Lytechinus pictus: one gene and its partners. The protein of the gene in region 1 purifies or fractionates together with the protein of each later gene. This does not show direct contact. Links are inferred from orthologs where the notes say so. Each region holds a gene or a part of one and is shown in the gene's direction. Other genes may lie near its edges.

Region 1 (7,146 bases):
TAAATAATTTTTTCGAGTGCACCATTATTCTCATTATTTATAAATAATCATTATTTAATGTTCGAGTTTTCCATTATTTATAAATAAAGATTATTTGTTAAATAATGAAATATCTACTTCATTATTTATAAATAATAATTTTGTTTCAATATCCCATTAATCATTATTTATAAACAATTTTTACAGTTTGCCATTATATACAAATAATCATTATTTATATACAAATAACCATTATTTATTAAATAATGCCATTATTTATTAAATAATGCCATTATTTATTAAATAATGCCATTATTTATTAAATAATGGAAAACTCGCTATAACATGCAAATGTGGGACCGCCCATGATATGAATATTCATGATGCGATTTCCTTTTTCGTGATTTTTCTTCACAAATTTTTGTCCATTTCCTCTTCATAATGACATTTCTTGAAGCAATTTTCTAGGGATATGGTCTGATTGTAATATTCTTCATTTTCTATATAACTTCGTCTTCGTAGAAATATCAAAAAGTGTAATTTTATACGATTTTTCCTACAGTTCACAATCCCCATAGGCGCGCGTGTACGGTAGGGACAACCGGTGAATCGACGGAGTGCTCTTCATCGAAATACTACGTTGGTTGGTCCCCGGAAGTGGCGGGCGGAATTTAGCCCGAATCCTCGATGGAAGTCGATCAAGTGCATATGAGCTGAGAGAGTGAAATATCAGTGTACTTGTACAGGCCCTTCTACTTTTTATAAATATTTCTTGTTGCTTTTTTTGTTAAGTTAATTTTTCCTGGTGTAGAGATAAGTTTCAGTTCTAATAATGCACTTCAAATACATTTTGGAGTGTCTGTTTGAGGCGTTTGGGGCGATTTCACCCTGGCCCCAAAATGCTCGCAACGACAATACGGGGGCATGATGACCCCTAAATTTTAAAAAACTTATTTTTCTATTGAAAATTATCACAAAATTCACCAAAAGTGTGCACGAAAGCCTTCGTATTTCACTTTTAAAACTCCAAAAGTGCCCAAATGACAAGCTTGGTCGCTTCGCTGTGTCGCTTTCAACTTGAGAACGTTTACGCGTCTGCTTCGATATCCCCCCCCCCCCTCCTCCGAAAGAAATTCTGTATACGGCCATGCTCTAAAGAGCCTGGCACATTGATTTATGTATACTTTCATTTTCATTATTTTTATCTCATTATCAACATGGCCTTACGCATAATTTTTTCCAGGGGGGCCGGGGCCGGAGCATGACGTACGCGCGTAAACTTTCTCATAAAAATCTTGAAAAAGCGAAGCGACCAAGCTTGTCATTTGAGCTTGGTCGCGTCGCTGTCTCGCTTTCAAGATTTTTTTGAGAAACTTTACGCGTGTCCTAGCTGCTCCCCCCCCCCCCCCCGGTAAAAATTCTGTGTAAGGCCATGATGATAATGTGATAAAAATAATGAAAATGAAAAGTACATATAAATCAATGTGCCATATGCTCTTTTGAGCATGGCCGTTCACAAAATTGTTTTCGGGGGGTGGGGGCAGACGCGCGTAAACGTTCTCAAGTTGAAAGCGAGACAGCGAAGCGACTAAGCTTGTCATTTGGGCTTGGTCCCGTGGCTGTCTCGCTTTCAAGATTTTTTTGAGAAAGTTTACGCGCGTCATGCTCCGGCCCCGGCCCCCCTGGAAAAAATTATGTTATACCGAGGTTGTTTTACCTGACTGCTAAGAAAGCACGAATGCCTGTGAGCAAGCAACCAGTGGACCAACGGCTTAAGGTCCTCTCCGAGGGACCTGGTAATGAGGATAAATGCCTTACCAAAGGGCACTAGCGCACCACTTGGGAATCGAACCCGGGTCACCGGAATCCGAAACCCCCGCTCTACCGACTGAGCTATCGCGCCTCCCTCATGCGTAAGGCCATGTTGATAATGAGATAAAAATAATGAAAATGAAAGTATACATAAATCAATGTGCCAGGCTCTTTAGAGAATGGCCGTATACAGAATTTCTTTCGGAGGAGGGGGGGGGGGATATATCGAAGCAGACGCGTAAACGTTCTCAAGTTGAAAGCGACACAGCGAAGCGACCAAGCTTGTCATTTGGGCACTTTTTGGAGTTTTAAAAGTGAAATACGAAGGCTTTCGTGCACACTTTTGGTGAATTTTGTGATAATTTTCAATAGAAAAATAAGTTTTTTTAAATTTAGGGGTCATCATGCCCCCGTATTGTCGTTGCGAGCATTTTGGGGCCAGGGTGAAATCGCCCCAAACGCCTCAAACAGACACTCCAAAATGTATTTGAAGTGCATTATTAGAACTGAAACTTATCTCTACACCAGGAAAAATTAACTTAACAAAAAAAGCAACAAGAAATATTTATAAAAAGTAGAAGGGCCTGTACAAGTACACTGATATTTCACTCTCTCAGCTCATATGCACTTGATCGACTTCCATCGAGGATTCGGGCTAAATTCCGCCCGCCACTTCCGGGGACCAACCAACGTAGTATTTCGATGAAGAGCACTCCGTCGATTCACCGGTTGTCCCTACCGTACACGCGCGCCTATGGGGATTGTGAACTGTAGGAAAAATCGTATAAAATTACACTTTTTGATATTTCTACGAAGACGAAGTTATATAGAAAATGAAGAATATTACAATCAGACCATATCCCTAGAAAATTGCTTCAAGAAATGTCATTATGAAGAGGAAATGGACAAAAATTTGTGAAGAAAAATCACGAAAAAGGAAATCACATCATGAATATTCATATCATGGGCGGTCCCACATTTGCATGTTATATAGCGAGTTTTCCATTATTTAATAAATAATGGCATTATTTAATAAATAATGGCATTATTTAATAAATAATGGCATTATTTAATAAATAATGGTTATTTGTATATAAATAATGATTATTTGTATATAATGGCAAACTGTAAAAATTGTTTATAAATAATGATTAATGGGATATTGAAACAAAATTATTATTTATAAATAATGAAGTAGATATTTCATTATTTAACAAATAATCTTTATTTATAAATAATGGAAAACTCGAACATTAAATAATGATTATTTATAAATAATGAGAATAATGGTGCACTCGAAAAAATTATTTATAAATAATGAAGTAGACGTTTTCATTATTTAACAAATAATCATTATTTATAAATAATAGAAAACTCAACAAATTATTTATAAATAATGAAAAACAAATAATCATTATTTATAAATAATGAAAAACAAATAATCATTATTTGTAAATAATGAAAAACAAATAATCATTATTTATAAATAATGAAAAACCAATTATCATTATTTATAAATAATGAAAAACAAATAATCATTATTTATAAATAATGAAAAACAAATAATCATTATTTATAAATAATGAAAAACAAATAATCATTATTTATAAATAATGGAATGTCGAACTATTATTATTTACAAATAATGAAGTATTACTTGGAATTATATATAAATAATTAGAAATGATATTTTATATAATAGTAGTTATTTACAAATAAAATGTAAATTATATATAAATAATAGTTATTATTTAATAAATAATGATTATATAACAAATAATTGTTCTATATAATATTGGTACATTCGGCGCCTCATAGTTGTTGTGTGTCCGGACGATCAATTTTAGAAAGTCATTTGGAACAATTTACAAGGGAAGTTTTATCAATTTTTAGTACAAAATGTCAGGAAATATTATAAAGAACCAAATAGAAGATGATTACAACTATTGATTTCGTATTTTTAGTGTAATCCAAAGACAAAAAAGAAGGCTTCAAAAATATAAAGTGTCCGGACACCCGACCCCCCATCCTACTAACGTAAAATAATATGCTTTGATCCAATTGATCCTTATACAAAAAATCCAAAGTTAGCCTTACAGGGGCCGCTGAACGGGGAGTGGGAAAATAGCATTTTACAGTACGAGAGCAGCCATGTACAGAAATGTGAAAATTGAACACCAAATTTTGTGTATTAACCCCCTGCTAGCTCTCTCCGCATATTTTTTCCTCCGTTCTAACTTTGGACTTATGCTGGCGCCCTTGACGTTACCGCACCGTTCGTAGACAAAATGGCAGCCTCCAGTGGGAAAAAGAAGGTAGATCTTCGGGAGTTAATGAGACAGCAAAAGGCTGCAAAGCAAAGCAGTGTCAAGAGAATTGAATCACCATTAGCAAAATATCCTTTAAAATAGTATTTCAGGCAAGAAATTAATAAATTCGGCCATTGTCAGAGCTAAAGCCTCGAGTTATTTTACTGTCTTGAATTATTGTAGTCCCATGTTATTAAGTTTACGTTGGTCATTTGATTGGCGTTTACTCAAAACGGTTTAGGTAGGGACACTCACACGTATTGCGAGGTTAGTATTACTATTAGTATAGGTAGGGAGTTCGGTGATTTTTTTAAAATCTTGAAGAATCCCAACAAATTTGATATCATTGGAAAGCTTGTGAAATAAGAAAAATAATGGTGCTTCATTTAACTCATTGTCTGATATATTGACGGAGATATTCCAATTTACAGGGGAAAATATGCAGATTTTGTTCTGTCAAATTTTTTTTAAAGGCTTGTTTGAGTGGGGGAGACAGTTGCTTTTTGAAATCTTGAAGGAATCCCAACAAATTTGGTACCAATGGAATGCTTGTGAAATAAGAAAAAGAATGGTGCATAAATCGACTCATGATGACAAATATTGACAGAGATATTTCTGTTTAAACGGTAGAATGTGCAGATTTTATTTACAGCAAAAAGTAGATTTTCATAACTTACACAAAATGCAATGAATGGGACTGTGCAATACTTTTTTAAAAAGTGCAATGCGCTGCTTTGCGGGGCAAGGCATTCCCTTGAATTATACATCATTTTATTCATTAAACTTCAAAGTTTCTCATGGTATAGGTTTCTATAGGGTTTTTCCTCCTCCTTTAAATTTAATGGCTTCATATTTGTTTTGTACATGGGTGCACAGACAGATACAAATTCTGAAAGTGGCATTTTCACCGAACTCCCTAGTTTAGGTTTGACTATTAATATTAGTTTAGGGTCTAGTATTAGTCTTAACTTGGTGAATTCGCTGCTATTTTTGTTTTACTCGAGAAAGGCATGCATCGTATTGCCAAATTCCTTGTTGTGTTCAGCTGCCATAAAATTTAAATCGGCCAGTGCAACTCAAGGCTAAGCAAATATTTATTTACTTAGTCTTAGCCCAGCCCGGCCCAGTCTCTTTTTATTATTATTTTACTGTCCGAATAATCTAGAGAAAGTTTCTATCTGATACCTGTCTGGTCAAAACACAAAAATTTAGATCCTCTAAATCTATTTTCTTTTGTATAAATTCACAATTGATCAGCTTTATGAAACCCCTACCCAGGTCTAGTTGATCTTGATGGATGGATAAAATGATAGAGTAGTAAATGTAAATATTGTTGGTCATGTTACTTAGTCTTAGTGCAAAGAAAGTTGCAAAATTTAGTTTTATTTCAAATTAATAATTTAAAAGTTAGGAACAGTTACTCCTGCAAGTTTTCATCACGTTTACTAGGGACCATGATATTGTGATATAATTTGGGGTATTATAAGAGATGATAGTTATGGGATGATCAAAATAATATTATCATTGTCAATGAATATGACAGAAATAGAAGAAAGATCTTGGCAATTACAATTTCGATTTATGGAATTACATCCAGGCATTCACTAAGACACAATTCAGGGGATCCAGTTGTAAAATTATTGTGAAAAATCAATGTTTTGAACAGACTACAGAGTTGCAGTTGTAATGCTATTTTGTGATTGAAATGGTCATAGCTTGCGAGTTTTTGTTTATTTTGTTCTGGATATCTGATAAAGGTCAAACTTAATGTTTTGTTAAGAACTAAATAATTCCTTAACACTGACATACGTATAACAACCTTGGTCAGTTAATCTGTGTAGTTTGTAATCAGCAGGTGAAGAATGAAATACTGTGGACAGCTCATATTCAAGGAAAGAAACATAAAGATGTAAGTAATATATATTCTACATAATTTGTATTTCTCCACCTCCTTTTTCTTCCCCATCTCCTTTCTATTTTGTATCATCACCTTCACTATTTTTTCTTGATTATAATTACAAATAATTTGTTTTTTCACCCCATGACAGGATTATTCATCATTCTCTCTTTTTTTTTTACTTGAGGCTTTTCATGATTCATTAGTCAAGAAACAATTCCTCTTTTATATGCATAAAGTTTCATGAACATAGTTGCAGTCAGTGTGCTCTTTAATATAAGTTCAAACTGATTCCTTTTTGTCTCACCTGCATAGCAGTGTGAGACTATAGGCACCACTTTTTTTATGGCGACGGCGTCAACACCAAAACTTAACCAAAGGTTAAGTTCTTGTTATGACAGCATAACTTAGAAAGTATATGGACCTAGTTCATGGAACTTAGACATAAGGCTGATCAAATATTACTGAACATTTGCCAGAGTTTTAAGTCACATGACCAAGGTCAAACGTCATTTAGGGTCAATGAACTTTAGCCAAGTTGGGGTTATCTGTTGAATTACCATCTTATCTTTTATAGTTTATGGATCTGATTCATGAAACTTGGACATAAGAGTAATCAAGTGTCACTGAATATCATGTGTGAGTTTCAGTTCACATGATCAAGGTCAAAGGTCATTTAAGGTCATTGAACTGTGGCCAAGTTGGGGGGTATTTGCTGAATTACCATCATAACTGAAAGTTTATGGATCTGATTCATGAAACTTGGACATAAGAGTAATCAAGTATCACTGAACATCCTGTGCGGGTTTCAGGTCACATGACTAAGGTCAAAGGTCAATGAACTTTGGCCATGTTGAGGGTATCTGTTGAATTACCATCATAACTTTGAAAGTTTATGGATCTGATTCATGAAACTTGGACATAAAGAGTAATCAATTATCACTGAACATCCTGTGCGAGTTTCAGGTCACATGACCAAGGTCAAAGGTCAATGAACTTTGGCCATGTTGGGGGTACGTGTTGAATTACCATCATAACTCCAAAAGTGTATGGATCTAGTCCATAAAACTTGGACATAGAGTAATCAAATATCACTGAACATCTCATGCGAGTTTCGGGGCACATGACCAAAGCCAAATGTCATTTAAA
Region 2 (7,136 bases), on another chromosome or scaffold:
TATTCCTTCCTTTGGCTCCATCCTTCTGGTCTTCCCTGAAATTACCTTTTTTTTTGTTTTAGTTACTTCTTTTTTAAATCCCGTTTATCTTTCTCACCCATTTTCTATCACTCCTTTTCTTTCTTTTTTCTATTTCTCCCTCTCCCGTTTATACCTTTACATTCATTTCTTTCTCATTTACTTTCCATTCTCATTTTCTTTTTACGTCTCCTATATTCTTCTTTTATTTGCCTTTTTCCCTCTCTTTCTTTCAATTTTCGGTAGTTAGGTGGCCTTTCCGACTAAAACTTTTCACAGCAAGACATAATTATAGGGAGATATTCATTGATGTATCAAAATGAGGTGAGAAGAAAATTAAGGGAAAATTTGACATTGAGGGTATATCATACACTCTTAAAAATGTTGGGCAACATACGGTCCACACAACAATTGGTTAAAACTTTATCCAATTCTGGGTAGTTTTACACCAATACTGTGTAGTTTTCACCCAAAGCACACATTATTGGTGTAAAACTACCCAGAATTGGATAAAGTTTTAACCAATTGTTGTGTGGACCGTATGTTGCCCAACATTTTTAAGAGTGTAAGGACTCGCATGCTAGCTTTACGAAAAACAAATAAACTTTATTAGTCATTAGACTATTTTTAACCTTTCAGCAAAGTTAATTATGTACATTCAAAATATAAAACAATAACAAGATATATTTTACAGTTGAATTTAAACAATTTATTCGACCAATGCATGCTATTCATGTCAGTATTGCGGCAAAATATTACATTAGGGACAATTTATGCATTATTAATAACATGGTCAATATTACTGCACTTGGCAAGAATCATAACAGCAATTAAAAGGTTTTTTGGGTTTGAGAGTTCGTGAGTTCATTCAGTCAGTGCCTAGAAGTTGATGCAGAAGACATATACGGATGATAACCCATTGGTGTGTAGAAAGAAGACGGTGTTCGGTGAAGATACTCAGCGCTAGAGGGAGAAGGAGAGTGACTGCTACGAGAGAGAGAGTCTACTGACGCCAATGCAGTGGCGTAACAGGCGGGGGGGGGGGCAGGGGGGGGGGTAAGCTGCCCCCCTGGCGGAGCTCACCGGGAAAATAAAAAAAAAACGGGAAAAAGAAAAAAAGGGAGGAAGAAAGGGAAAGGGAAAGGAAAGAAAAGAAAAAAGGGGAAAGGGAAAGGAAAAGGGAAAAGAAAACTAAGAAAAAAACATAAAAAAGGGAAAACGGAAAGATAACGGGAAAAGGAAGGAAAAAAGAACAAGTGAGAAAAAACAATTCGCCCCGATATAATACAGTAGCATGATTAGTAAGACAGGGAAATAAATTAAAGATGACAAAAAGGCAAACAAAAGCGGGAAATAAAGGCCCCTATATGGACCCTTCCTGCATTAAGCTTTACGTTGAAACACTGGCATACCGGGGGGGGGGGAAATAAAAGAAAATAAAGGAGGCAGCGAAATTAGATGAATGAAAAAAATATATGACATGATATTTGCTATAATGATGTAAAAATCTATCACATAATTAGAATTTCATTTTAACAGGCCTTTTTTTTATTGGCTCGCTTCGCTCGCTGGCGACTTTTTACAAATTTTCCCACATTTGCTATGGTGTGCCCCTCACAATATGTGGATGATTACGATACACAACTGCATTGAATTTATGTGTTGTGTTAAAGCTTTATAAATATACACGCAATTTGATTAAAATAAGTGGCCATCTGCAAGGTTTATGGCTTTGATATCAAGAGGTTCCGGGGTTCTACCCTGGACCCCACCATAAAGCACTGTTATATGGATGAGTTGGACCATGGCCCCCAAAAGTTCTACAACGAAACAAAAAAAAAATGAGGAAAGAAAGGAAAGTGTATTATATTTTTCTGAATATCACGTTAAAATCTATCTTCATGTTAGATTCTCATGAAAAGGTGATTTTTTTTATCTCGCTCGCTTCGCTCCCCCGGACCTATATTAAGCTACTTCTTGCCAGAAGCGCCATACTCGGCCCCCTCGAGCATATAGAGCTTCGCCCTGATGCTCACAATCATAACAAAAATCCTGTTCACCGTGGCGTACAAAAAAGAGAGAAAAAAGGAAAAAGAGGAGGGTGAAATAATTATGATATCATCTTTTTAACATTATGTCAAAATCTATCACAAAATTGGATTTTTGCAATAAAAATGTATAAAAATTTTGCTCGCTCGCTTATATATATATATATATATATATATATATATTGGCCCGATATGCCATATCGCCCCCTCAAAATTTTTGCCTTATGACGCCATTGCCTGTTCCATGATATGACCGGGACATTTTTGGCTCTTGCCCCCCCTTGGCCACCGACCCCTGTTACGCTGCTGCATCAATGGACTGGTGGCGCCTTTCGTTGAGTCACGTGATGTCGTGCAGTGGAGCTGAGTGACGCCATGACATTGAAGATGTGGGTCCAATGAAACTGTCGTTGACTCTGACGTCGATCGACTGCTTTCAGCGAGAAAGTCGACAGAGAACTTGGATGACACGACGCCCAACTTCTTTGTAGGTGGTGTCGTCTGGTTGACCTCATCGGCGTCGCATGGTGTCTTCCGCTCTTTCAATTTTTGGTAATTAGGTGGCCTTTTCGACTAAACTCTTTCACAGCAAGGCATAATTATAGGGAGATATTCATTAATGTATCAAAAAGATATGAGAAGAAAATTAAAGGAAAGGGATTTGACATTGTTGGTATATCATAAGGACTCGCATGCTTCCTTCGCGAAAAACAAATAAACTCTATTAATCATTAGACTCTTTCGAACCAATCAGCAAAGTTAATTATGTACATTCAAAATATAAAACAACAACAAGATATATTTTACAGTTGAATTTGAACATTTTATTCGACCAATGCTATTCACGTCAGTAGTGCGGCAAAATATTACATTAGGCGCCACCAGTCCATTGATGTCAGTAGAGTTTCTCTCTCGTAGCAGTCGCTCTCCTTCTCCCTCTAGCGCACTGACTGAATGAACTCTCGAACTCTCAAACAGAAAGGAACTTTCCATTGCTGTTAAAATAATATTCTTCTCAATTGCACTAATATTGGTCATATAATCATAATGCTCAAACTGTTCTTATAATGTTACAATTTGTAAAACTATTAAAACTAGCAGGAATGGCATTAGTCGAATAAATCGTTTGAATTCATTTATAAAAATATATCTTTTTTGATGTACATATTAATTATCTTTGCTTTAAGGTTGGAAAGAGGTGGGATTGATAAAATGTATGCCCTATTTATTTTTAAGTGAAGAGACGTTCTCACTACAAGTTTCCACTAAACTAGTTTCCACTGAACTAGTTTTAGGAAGGGAGTGAGAACGGTGTCTTATATAGTGCAGTAGAATATATAATTTAGATAATAGTTTCTGCGCTCTGAAATCTATAAATTTAGATCTATACTATTCATTTTATTTAAAATGTTATCACTCTCTTATCTTGCATCCAATTTTTTAATGAAATTTTCAGTTTTTTTCTGGGGTGCATGGACTTGACCTTTAAAATTAAATAACTTCGTTATTTGTTATCCGATTTTGATGATATTTTCAGAATTTTGCCCTGTGAATTTTACATTATTTATTGAGATATGAATACTTCCAGCCTGGACCATCCCTTTAAATCCCGAGCTGGGTTTTTCATTTGCGTTTCACACGGGATTTCAAAATCCCGAGGGGGTTTAAAATTCTTGGGTGAATTCGGGCCATAATGTTTATACACAAAGGAGTCGCTCGATCGCTCACTTACTTTTTGGTGTTGGTGTTGGTGTTGAAACTTTGGATTGCTTAATTCCCCCCCCCCCTCCCTTAGCTCCAAAATCTATTCTGAGTTTGTAAAACTGATCCAGATCACATTATTGACATCTCAACAACTAGTGAGTGACTTCTCGGCACCATCTTCATTTTATGTTTGGTGTTATAATCGTGTAAACATTGACCTAACAGGTTAACACCAACATCAAACGGTCAACACTGAACTCGAAGTCACCCATTGGCATTAATCCCGGGAGTATACCCCTCACCATTATTTTGATTCACATAACGCCAGCTACGGTAGCTTTTTTTAAACTATACGGTATGGTACGTAGGACGTAGAACTTAGATCATCATTAATAATACTTAGTGGAGAAAATCGACGCGGAACTCCGGAATTTTATTGAAATTTAATTTTTACCTTGTTCAAGTAGAGTCGATAAATCAAGATGGGGAAGAGACAACATCAGTCAGATAAGATGTGAGTATTGTATTTTATGGTTTTCCCCCTTTTCATCTGATTCTTTAATTCACGGTTTCTTTAGTTTAGGGCCCCTGGCACCTGCGGGTTTCTCCCATGTCACAACGCCGGTCTGGGCGGCGGAGTGCGTAGTAGAATCCCGTTGGCGTTGCTTGCTCTTGTACTGTAGGCGAAATTTCTGCCTGGCTGTTTCACTTTCAAACACAAACTGACAAAGCAGGTTGTGAATTGTGTGAAGGAGGTTGAGGGGGCTGGCGATGTCGCAAAAATGTACTGAAATTTAAAATGAAGAAATCTCTGGTTTTCTTCTGAAAATCTGCATTGACGATTGATCTGACCATGCTGACTGAGTTTGCGAACTTTCTAACAAATTGAAATTAAGGATTGTATCTTCAAAATGACAGCAACAAAAAACCCCACAGAAAATCTCCACCCCATTCAATTGATTGAATTTGCACAGAAATCAAGCCGACAGCATGCTATCGGTATTGCTAGCTAGTGCCATAGTGGGCACTCACAACATTGCAAGGTTAGTGCTATACCGTATACGAACCTTGCACAACCAACATGTTTTTGTAGAGTTGTCGTTAACATCGCTTCATAACGTGAATGATGTTAGCCGAAACCCATTCCGCTACTCACCAGGGCTTTTTCTGGTAGAAAGCGTTCCATTTTCAATTTTTAACATATTTTTTTAATTTAAAAAGGACACAAAAAAGAGCAAAATCGCTTACCTCCGCCTGGAAAGTGGCTTCGCACGTCTCTTCCACGGAAATAAAAGGAAGGTCGTTCGTGGCGCTAATACAGTTCACAACCTTAATTCAGCTTGGTGGTATTTTTAAAACTAGATTCATGATTCATTGTATGCGCAATTCCAATAATTGTTTGATAAAATAGAGACCCCAATAAATGCAATAACTTAAAAACCATGTCACTTTAGTACAAATGACCTTCCTCTGATCATGCGCAGAATCTTCTGATCATGCGCAGCTTGAAACAGCTTGAAAACAAACGGCATGACCAGTTATTTTTTTAACAGACATTTCATTAAAACAACTGATTCTTCCATTTGAATTTACAATAGAATGTTTCATGTTTATTTCTATACTAAAATTTATTGTTGAATATATGTTGTTGAAAATTTCCCTCCCCATAATAACGTTGATTACAAATATCCATTGATTTGATCGATTTGATGCAGCAACTTTGAGTATGCGGCATTGTAGGCCTTATAATATCATAACCACTTTACAGTGAACCATGTGATATTGTTACCCTGGCTGTACTTCACCTGGGAAACTCCAGATAACTTTGCCTGTTTTTTTTTCCTGTTTTAATAGAAAATCATCACTTTGGCCCATTTCATAAAAGATTTATGATGATGGTAACTTTACCTTTAAAACTATGTTCCGTGGTTACAGAGTTCAGCATCCTATCAAAACAAGATTTGCATTAATACCATAATGGCAAAAGTACCATCATCATAAATTTGTACGATGGGCCCCTGGAGTAGGATTCAACCTATTATCTTCTGATTGAAAGGCGAGTGTTGGAACCATTTCTATTACTTTAATAGTTTGCAAACTTCTTCTCACAATGAAACAGGTATCTGACCTCCAAGGAGTGGACGGCATTCTACGGTGGCAAGAAAACTGGTAAGAGAGATTGAAGTTTTCTCATCTCTATCCATCTTTATTCTCTGATCTTTTTAATGTTAGAAGACATTATAATAATCATAGAGTTGAGATGAATAGCAAAGAGGCAGATGGCACAATAATGAGCAGTAACAAGCTATCAACTTGGAACATGACATTTGGGTATTTATTTTTTTGTTCAGATAGGGTTCACCCCATGGTGGGTGCTAAAATTGCACCCTTTCCAACATCTGAAACCTTTAGCATAGATCTGGCAAGGGGGTTAGCATTGAAATTGCACCTAGAGCTCTGATATTTTTTCATGGTACACCAGTGCTTCTGAGGTTTGTGGATTAAACTTTCAAGGTATATATTTTTCTCTCTCTTTTTCTTCCCCTTTACTTTAACATTTTTTGCCTCCGACAAAGATTCTGCTAGGATCGAAAGCTTAGGCCCCTATTGACTTTCTAATTTACTCCATTGGCTCTCTTTTATTAGATAAGCAGTTTTCAGCAGCTTCTTTTTGCCATTTTTTGTACCCGTTAAAGTGATGCCATTGTAAGTTGTCCATCTAGTCCCCCTGATATACATTGTATACTCTTTATGAAAACTGAATAATTTTCTTTCTTATTTTAATGTTGTATCACAGAATCACAGAAATCTGAGTTTCGTAGATTACCATTTGATCATTGCAGGTATGTGATTTCATTCATTAGAAAATCTTAAAGAAGGGAATACATAGGAATTTTATAAAGTATTAGCTATATTTTCATATATAAGATTTTATACTTATTTCATTTCCTTATGTAAATTGAAGAGTTATTAATATATTTAAGCGCTTAGAGAAATTTTGTTAGGCGCTATGTAAGTATTGAATTATTATTATTATTATATCGTATTTAGTATTGTTTCATGGTTTGAAGTATTAATCATATGACAGGTCTTTTTTTTCAACCGTGCCGGGGGGGGGGGGCAGGCCTACATATGCACAAAATCTCAAAAACTTTTTCAAATAATAATAATTAAAAATTAAACAGTTGTATTTAATAAATGTACTTCTAAATTTTTTTGCACAAGATATGATTAAACGATTGTATTCTTATTCAAATAGTATTTACATTTTTTTCTTATATCCAAAGTCTATCCCTTCAGCCTTTTGAGCACCCCTACTGTACTTCAGATGGTATTATCTTTGATCTGATGAGTATTGTACCATTC
Region 3 (7,230 bases), on another chromosome or scaffold:
TCAATGGCGGTTTTTAAAAAGAATAAACTGTACTACAAATTATGGTGAAGCCAATTTAAAAGGAGGTGAGGCAAGTTTCAATTGAGGTTTTTAAAAAGAATAAACTGTACTACAAATTTAAAAGGAGGCGAGGCAAGTTTCAATGGAGGTTTTTAAAAAAGAATAAACTGTACTACAAATTATGGTGAAGCCAATTTAAAAGGAGGTGAGGCAAGTTTTAATGGAGGTTTTTAAAAAGAATAAACTGTATTATGGTGAAGCCAATTTAAAAGGAGGTGAGGCAAGTTTTAATGGAGGTTTTTAAAAAGAATAAACTGTATTATGGTGAAGCCAGTTTAAAAAGAGGTGAGGCAAGTTTCAATGGAGGTTTTTAAAAAAGAATAAACTGTACTACAAATTTAAAAGGAGGCGACGCAAGTTTCAATAGAGGTTTTTAAAAAGAATAAACTGTATTACAAATTATGGTGAAGCCAATTTAAAAGGAGGTGAGGTAATTAGTTAATGGAGGTTTTTAAAAAGAATAAACTGTATTACAAGTTATGGTGAAGGCAATTTGAGAGGAGGTGAGGCATATGTCTACAATGATTTTTTTTAAAGAATGATAAGTGTAGAATATAATTCAAATGATGAAGCCATCTTGAGAGGTGCATGAGGCAAGTTTTCAATGAGGTTTCTAAAAACAATGAATAGTGAAGAGAAAGTTCGCAATTGCTTTTAATAATCCACAAAATTGTGTAGTTATTTATTTCATGCAAATTGCTATTAATTGATTATGCTCATTTGTGCATAATTAGTATACTATACCTATTCCTCTAACTCCCTAAATAAAGCTCCAAATGTTCTAATTTTTGGTTTAGAAACTCTTTGTGGTGTTCTTCGATAATGTATTTCTTGTGTTTTTACCTTTGTATTGCATTGTTATTTTTCAACGATGCTCGGACTCTCGTAACAGCATAAAATAAATCAGTTTAGTTCAACAAAACTAAAAACAATTAGGCATTCATGAATTTTGGTTGAAAACGCATATTCCATTGACGTGGTACACAAATATCACAATTTTGAGCCATTTTTGTCTGATATGCACTTACAAATTGTTTGGTAATTTTCAGAACCCAGTACCCGGGCTTCGCAAAACTGGTCTCAAAACATGCAAAAGACTTTTTTTTTTAAATCGCAGAGCTCAGAGCCCCCCCCCCCCCCCTGCGTAAATAGGTTAAGTTTGCATTAATTTTGAACTTTTCCATTCCCAAATACGTAATATCCCCTCCCCAAAAATGCAATTGTCACTGAAATGGAATATACATAATATATTTTTTAATAAGCCATATTTGCAAAATAATCATCATGTCATCCTTTGTCAACAAGAAATCTGTACATGTCCTCTGGAAGAAAATAATACCTCGGCCGCCTATTAAATTCTAAGTTTTTATTTTGTAAGTATTTTACTTAGCAATTTGGCTGGCTTATCAAAATGCTTAAACTTGTATGCAGATCAGATCTCAGAATTTACCTTATCCAAATTGAACTAAATACTAATACCCATTGTGATGTTATAAATTTTGAGCCAAATAGTGCCAAATGTGTGAATGTATTTCTGTGCGTATCATTTTTGTATATGTAGACTTAAGTCTAGTAGATGGCTGACTTACATTTAAGCAAAATATTTAGCCCAAAAAAAATGCAATTGAATACCAAAGATGGATAAGTATTTTACTTTTGCAAAATACTGAGTAAAATATACTTGAAATTGTGGCTTTAAGAGTAGCATTGAATACCGGCCCTGTTCCTCATCATCATTATCATCCTACTACCACACCAGTTTCTGCAGCACAAACTTTAACTTTCATAGGTTGAGTCCATTTCAAAGCCAACACTCTCACTTTAACTTTTTTCTCTTATAACATGACGTCCACACACTGCCAATCACATCCTTACAACACCAACTGTCAGAGGACAACAGAACTGCAGTTACCATATCATTACCCCCAAAACACCACTCAATTTTGAATTGATCCAAATGAAATATGACTGTGTTGCACAAAAAAAAGCTATGTAGTCATAGTAGATTTTATTGACTTGTACATTCATAAGGCTATGCATATATTTTGAGTAATTGTTGTGTTGTCTTCAGTGATAGTTGGTACCCACTGTGCTTATGGCCAACTTTGGTAAAGGCATACATTGAATAAACTTTTATGTACTGAAAATGATGACAGAATATATTCTAAAAAAATAACATTACAAATGCATGACAGGTAATTTCAACATGAACTATTTCACAATTTGCCAACATGACAATAAAAACTAACCTTAAAAAATAGTAGAAGCTGATGTTGGATGGAAAAGAATATTTTTGTCATACAGCTTGAAAGACATTACATATGTATGCCTCACCTCCTTTTAAATTGGCTTCACCATAATTTGTAGTACAGTTAATTCTTTTTTTAAAACCTCCATTGAAACTTGCCTCACCTCCTTTTAAATTGGCTTCACCATAATACAGTTTATTCTTTTTAAATACCTCCATTGAGGCTTGCCTCACCTCCTTTTAAATTGGCTTCACCATAATTTGTAGTACAGTTTATTCTTTTTAAAAACCTCCATTGAAACTTGCCTCACCTCCTTTCAAATTTGTAGTACAGTTTATTCTTTTTAAAAATCTCCATTAAAACTTGCCTCACCTCCTTTTAAATTGGCTTCACCATAATTTGTAGTAGTTTATTCTTTTTAAAAACGGACTTGCCTCGCCTCCTTTTAAATTGCCTTCACCATAACTTGTAATACAGTTTATTCTTTTTAAAAACCTCCATTGAAACTTGCCTCACCTCCTTTTAAATTGGCTTCACCATAATTTGTAGTACAGTTTATTCTATTTATAAACCTCCATTGAAACTTGCCTCACCTCCTTTTAAATTTGTAGTACAGTTTATTTCTTTTTAAACCTCCATTGAAACTTGCCTCACCTCCTTTTAAATTGGCTTCACCATAACTTGTAATACAGTTTATTCTTTTTAAAAACCTCCATTGAAACTTGCCTCACCTCCTTTCAAATTTGTAGTACAGTTTATTCTTTTAAAAAACCTCAATTGAAACTTGCCTCACCTCCTTTTAAATTGGCTTCACCATAATACAGTTTATTCTTTTCAAAAACCTCCATTGAGGCTTGCCTCACCTCCTTTTAAATTGGCTTCACCATAATTTGTAGTACAGTTTATTCTTTTTAAAAACCTCCATTGAAACTTGCCTCACCTCCTTTTAAATTGGCTTCACCATAATACAGTTTATTCTTTTTAAAAACCTCCATTAAAACTTGCCTCACCTCCTTTTAAATTGGCTTCACCATAATACAGTTTATTCTTTTCAAAAACCTCCATTGAGGCTTGCCTCACCTCCTTTTGAATTGGCTTCACCATAATTTGTAGTACAGTTTATTCTTTTTTAAAAACCTCCATTGAAACTTGCCTCGCCTCCTTTTAAATTTGTAGTACAGTTTATTCTTTTTAAAAACCTCAATTGAAACTTGCCTCACCTCCTTTTAAATTGGCTTCACCATAATTTGTAGTACAGTTTATTCTTTTTAAAAACCTCCATTGAAACTTGCCTCACCTCCTTTTAAATTGGCTTCACCATAATACAGTTTATTCTTTTTAAAAACCTCCATTAAAACTTGCCTCACCTCCTTTTAAATTGGCTTCACCATAATACAGTTTATTCTTTTTTAAAACCTCCATTGAAACTTGTCTCACCTCCTTTTAAATTGGCTTCACCATAATATTCAGGTAAGGTATATTCATTCTTTTTTTAAAAAAACATCATTGTTCACTTCCCTCACCTAGATCATTTGGCTATATATAATACCTTTTATTCTACACTATTCTTCCCTTTAAAAAAACCTGATTGTACTCCTGCCTCCCCTGATCTGAGTCTGACATTTGCCTCTCAACGTACTGGAAATAGATACCCTTTTTTCAATATTTTTGTGTTTTTGACACCCTTATCACGTTACGTACGTAACGTGCCCTCTCTTGAAAAATACATCCTTTTTACGTGTTTTTTTTGGTCGCGCATGGTATCCACTCGTCAATGTAAGTGGCCCCCCCGGGCGTACTGTACATAGTGTTATTTTATTATCTCTTTATATCGGAAACTTCGTTTTACCGAATTGCCATGCACTCTCTCCGACGCGTTTGAAGTCTTAGACAGCATGGCATACTACCAGCCGATGGTACACACACGCACACACACACACGTTATTTGACAACTTGTCTCTGGAGCCAAAGTTCCTCGCATATAACTACTAGTATCTGCATGCCTGCACGCAGTGTGTATTGAACACGCACGACCACGATCTAATGAATATTCATCGGCGAGACTGACGTCATTTTACGAGTCTCCTTTCAAACTTGGATCATAAGTGCCTACCGTAGTTTACTAGTCAATCGAGCGAGATACGAAGCGTAATCAGTCATGTCGTCAACAAATACCAAGAGAATCGCTTACGTTGGTGAGTTTCTAATCCATTTCCCAATGATTTTTGCTATTGATCGAAGGGACGTCTATATTTTTTCATTTATTTCATTACTTATGAAAATGAAATGGCAATATATAATTGAGAATAAATACGTGTGTACTAATTCGTAGACGTAGTCCCATATGATGGTTTGTGTGTTTGCTTGTCCTGAAAAAAACTTGAGTTTGTCCACTTGCTCACTGGCTCACTGCAACCATCCTGCCTGTGGAGTGTGGGGAATCTACAGGTAGAACCACTCATTCAATGAACAAGGTTATGATATAACCTAGTGGTTGTCAGTTATATCTCCATGTCATGTGTGTGGCAAAATAAGGATGGCAATGTTTGGCTTATTTTCTCTTTTTCTTTGGGACAAATGCTTGATTTTTTTTACACCGACAGTTTCCATTGCACCTATTCGTCATACAACTTGGCCCTTAAGTAAATTTGATTCTTAAAATTATTTTTTTCTTAATTAAAAATAGAGATTAAAAAATGAAAATTTTCTTGCCATATTATTATTTTCCACCAATAGAGGGCGTGCACAAAAATATGCCCCAAATTCAAGTTTTTGAGCGCTCTAGTGAATACAAATTATTCCCAAGTTACAAATGAAAAAGAAATTGCAACTGTATGGAAATTAGTAATTTTGGTCACAAAAGTGAAATTTTAATCATTTTTTAAAGTGTGTGCTCTGTACAGCATTGGCATGCCATAGTCCAACCTGTAGATTCCCCACAGGCAGGGTGGTTGCAGTGAACAAGTGGGTAGAACTAGTCTATGGTATGCCAATGCTGTACATAGCACATACTTAAAAAAATCATTAAAATATCACTTTTGTGACCAAAATTACTAATTTTCATACAGTTGCAATTTATTTTTCATTAGTAACGTGGGAATAATTGTTTTTTTTCACCAGAGTGCTCAAAAACTTGAATTTTGAGCATATTTTTGTGTAAGCCCTCTATTGGTGGAAAGTAACTAACATGGCAAGAAATTTTTCATTTTTCAATCTCTATTTTTGATTAAGAAAAAATGATTTAAAGAATCAAATTTACATAAGAGCCAAGTTATATGATGAATAGCTGTATTGGAAACTGACAGTGTAAAAAAAACAAGCATTTGTCCCATAGAAAAAGAGAAAATAATCCAAAATTGCCACTAGTGGCACTACCTTATTTTTGCCACACAACATGGAGATGTAACTGAGAACAAGGTTATATCATAACCTTGTTAATTGAATGAGTGAGTTTGTCAAGATTTTTTTAGCAAGGACCACAAAATTTAGAAAGCTCTTAATTCTTCATTTAAAAACACATAAATTAAAAATGATCTTCAAGGCTAAAACATAATAAAAATTACTTAAAAGTTACACAAATTCCCTATAACTTCTGGAAAAATAGCAAACTAGATTGTGGTTATGTGCCAAAAAAATACACAGAAGAAATGGTCCCTCACCATGCTCGCTACCCTGGGACTGTGTTGAGCCTCTCGGAGGAGCCATGGAAACATGTCACATTGATAGACCATCAACTCGGTCTCGGCTGCCAGAAAATGTTAAGATACCGCTAAACGAACCACTCAAAATATAATATGCAAGAACACTTGGGGCAAATTCACGCATGACTATTTGTGCACATGCCCAACACGGCAACAGCACAATCTAACGCCCATGTACCTCGAGCTAAGTTCGTGCAGGCTCCACTCCACTTCACTACCACTACACTACGGTCCACCTACCCGAACTTCGAGACCGTGAACTCTATCTGATATTCAGCAAGAAATTAAATCCACACTGCTGCACTCGACCCAGGTGAGGTAAATGGGTACCGGCAGGAAGTAATTCCTCAAAAAGCCGTGCGCACCAGAATTGGTAGACTAGCTTAGCCGGGGTAATATAGGAGCGCCTTGAGCACCTAGCAAGGTGGATACGTGCGCTATACAAATGAAATCCTATATTATTAATATTATTATTAGTTGTGATAAGGCTACATTCCAAACCCATAGCAATTTGTTAATCATGTATCAACTATCATTTCTTCGGATTCTAGGAGGATTGGCAGAAGAGGTAACAGAGAAGACGCTTCATGCAGCCTTCATTCCTTTTGGCGATATCATGGACATACAAATCCCCCTTGACTATGAGACTGAAAAGCACAGAGGTTTTGCTTTTGTAGAGTTTGAGTTTGCAGAGGTAAAGCTCCTGTATTTATTCTTTTATTTAATTACCTACATGTAACAGTTTCTCTACCTTTGAGTTCTCACCACCAAGCGTCTCACCACTGATGAGACTACTATGGCGTGAAATAGGCCCAAAACGAACAATAACCACATCGCTTTTTAATCAGAATTATGTATTGGTAAACTGAGGAATTTGAACCAAGTGTACCGTACATTTGTAGGGTTAGATCAGCTTAAAGTGATTCAGAGACGGATGTGTGTATTTTTAAAGAATTACCAGTACCGTAAGGGCACTAGTATTCAACCCGTTTGGAGAGTTTCCTCAAATATATAGAAATATAAAATTTACCTGAATTTCAGACCCGTCTTATTTTCAAGAGCAAATGCTGGTTATTCTTTTTCCGTTATTCTTTTTCCGTTATTTTTTTCTTCAACCCGTCGACTGTGTGCGCGGGCGATCGAATTATACGGCGATGGTGTTTGGCACTAGTATTTAACCCGTCGGCACTAGTATTCAACCTAGCAATGAAAGATGGCCC

What was found. Proteins that work in one complex are often made in the same cells at the same time.
Region 2: the proteins of zinc finger protein 830-like (region 1) and RING-type E3 ubiquitin-protein ligase PPIL2-like purify together in Homo sapiens (co-immunoprecipitation; 4 studies listed by BioGRID and IntAct, counting the BioPlex papers as one, with this or other methods). This does not show direct contact. The link is inferred for Lytechinus pictus from reciprocal best matches to the Homo sapiens genes ZNF830 and PPIL2.
Region 3: the proteins of zinc finger protein 830-like (region 1) and peptidyl-prolyl cis-trans isomerase E-like purify together in Homo sapiens (affinity purification with mass spectrometry; 3 studies listed by BioGRID and IntAct, counting the BioPlex papers as one, with this or other methods). This does not show direct contact. The link is inferred for Lytechinus pictus from reciprocal best matches to the Homo sapiens genes ZNF830 and PPIE.

The regions. Positions count from the first base shown.
Region 1 is NC_087247.1:42,396,247-42,403,392, forward strand, and holds the start of zinc finger protein 830-like, read left to right. Parts: upstream 1-4,035; 5' UTR 4,036-4,079; coding exon 4,080-4,186; intron 4,187-5,909; coding exon 5,910-6,009; intron 6,010-7,146.
Region 2 is NC_087246.1:20,479,515-20,486,650, forward strand, and holds the start of RING-type E3 ubiquitin-protein ligase PPIL2-like, read left to right. Parts: upstream 1-4,115; 5' UTR 4,116-4,252; coding exon 4,253-4,284; intron 4,285-5,889; coding exon 5,890-5,939; intron 5,940-6,567; coding exon 6,568-6,613; intron 6,614-7,057; coding exon 7,058-7,136. Other genes in the region: uncharacterized protein LOC129283664, read right to left, coding at 891-1,021, 2,360-2,605, 3,649-3,664. UniProt on the Homo sapiens protein: Has a ubiquitin-protein ligase activity acting as an E3 ubiquitin protein ligase or as an ubiquitin-ubiquitin ligase promoting elongation of ubiquitin chains on substrates.
Region 3 is NC_087261.1:25,313,937-25,321,166, forward strand, and holds the start of peptidyl-prolyl cis-trans isomerase E-like, read left to right. Parts: upstream 1-4,209; 5' UTR 4,210-4,467; coding exon 4,468-4,504; intron 4,505-6,561; coding exon 6,562-6,704; intron 6,705-7,230. UniProt on the Homo sapiens protein: Involved in pre-mRNA splicing as component of the spliceosome. Combines RNA-binding and PPIase activities.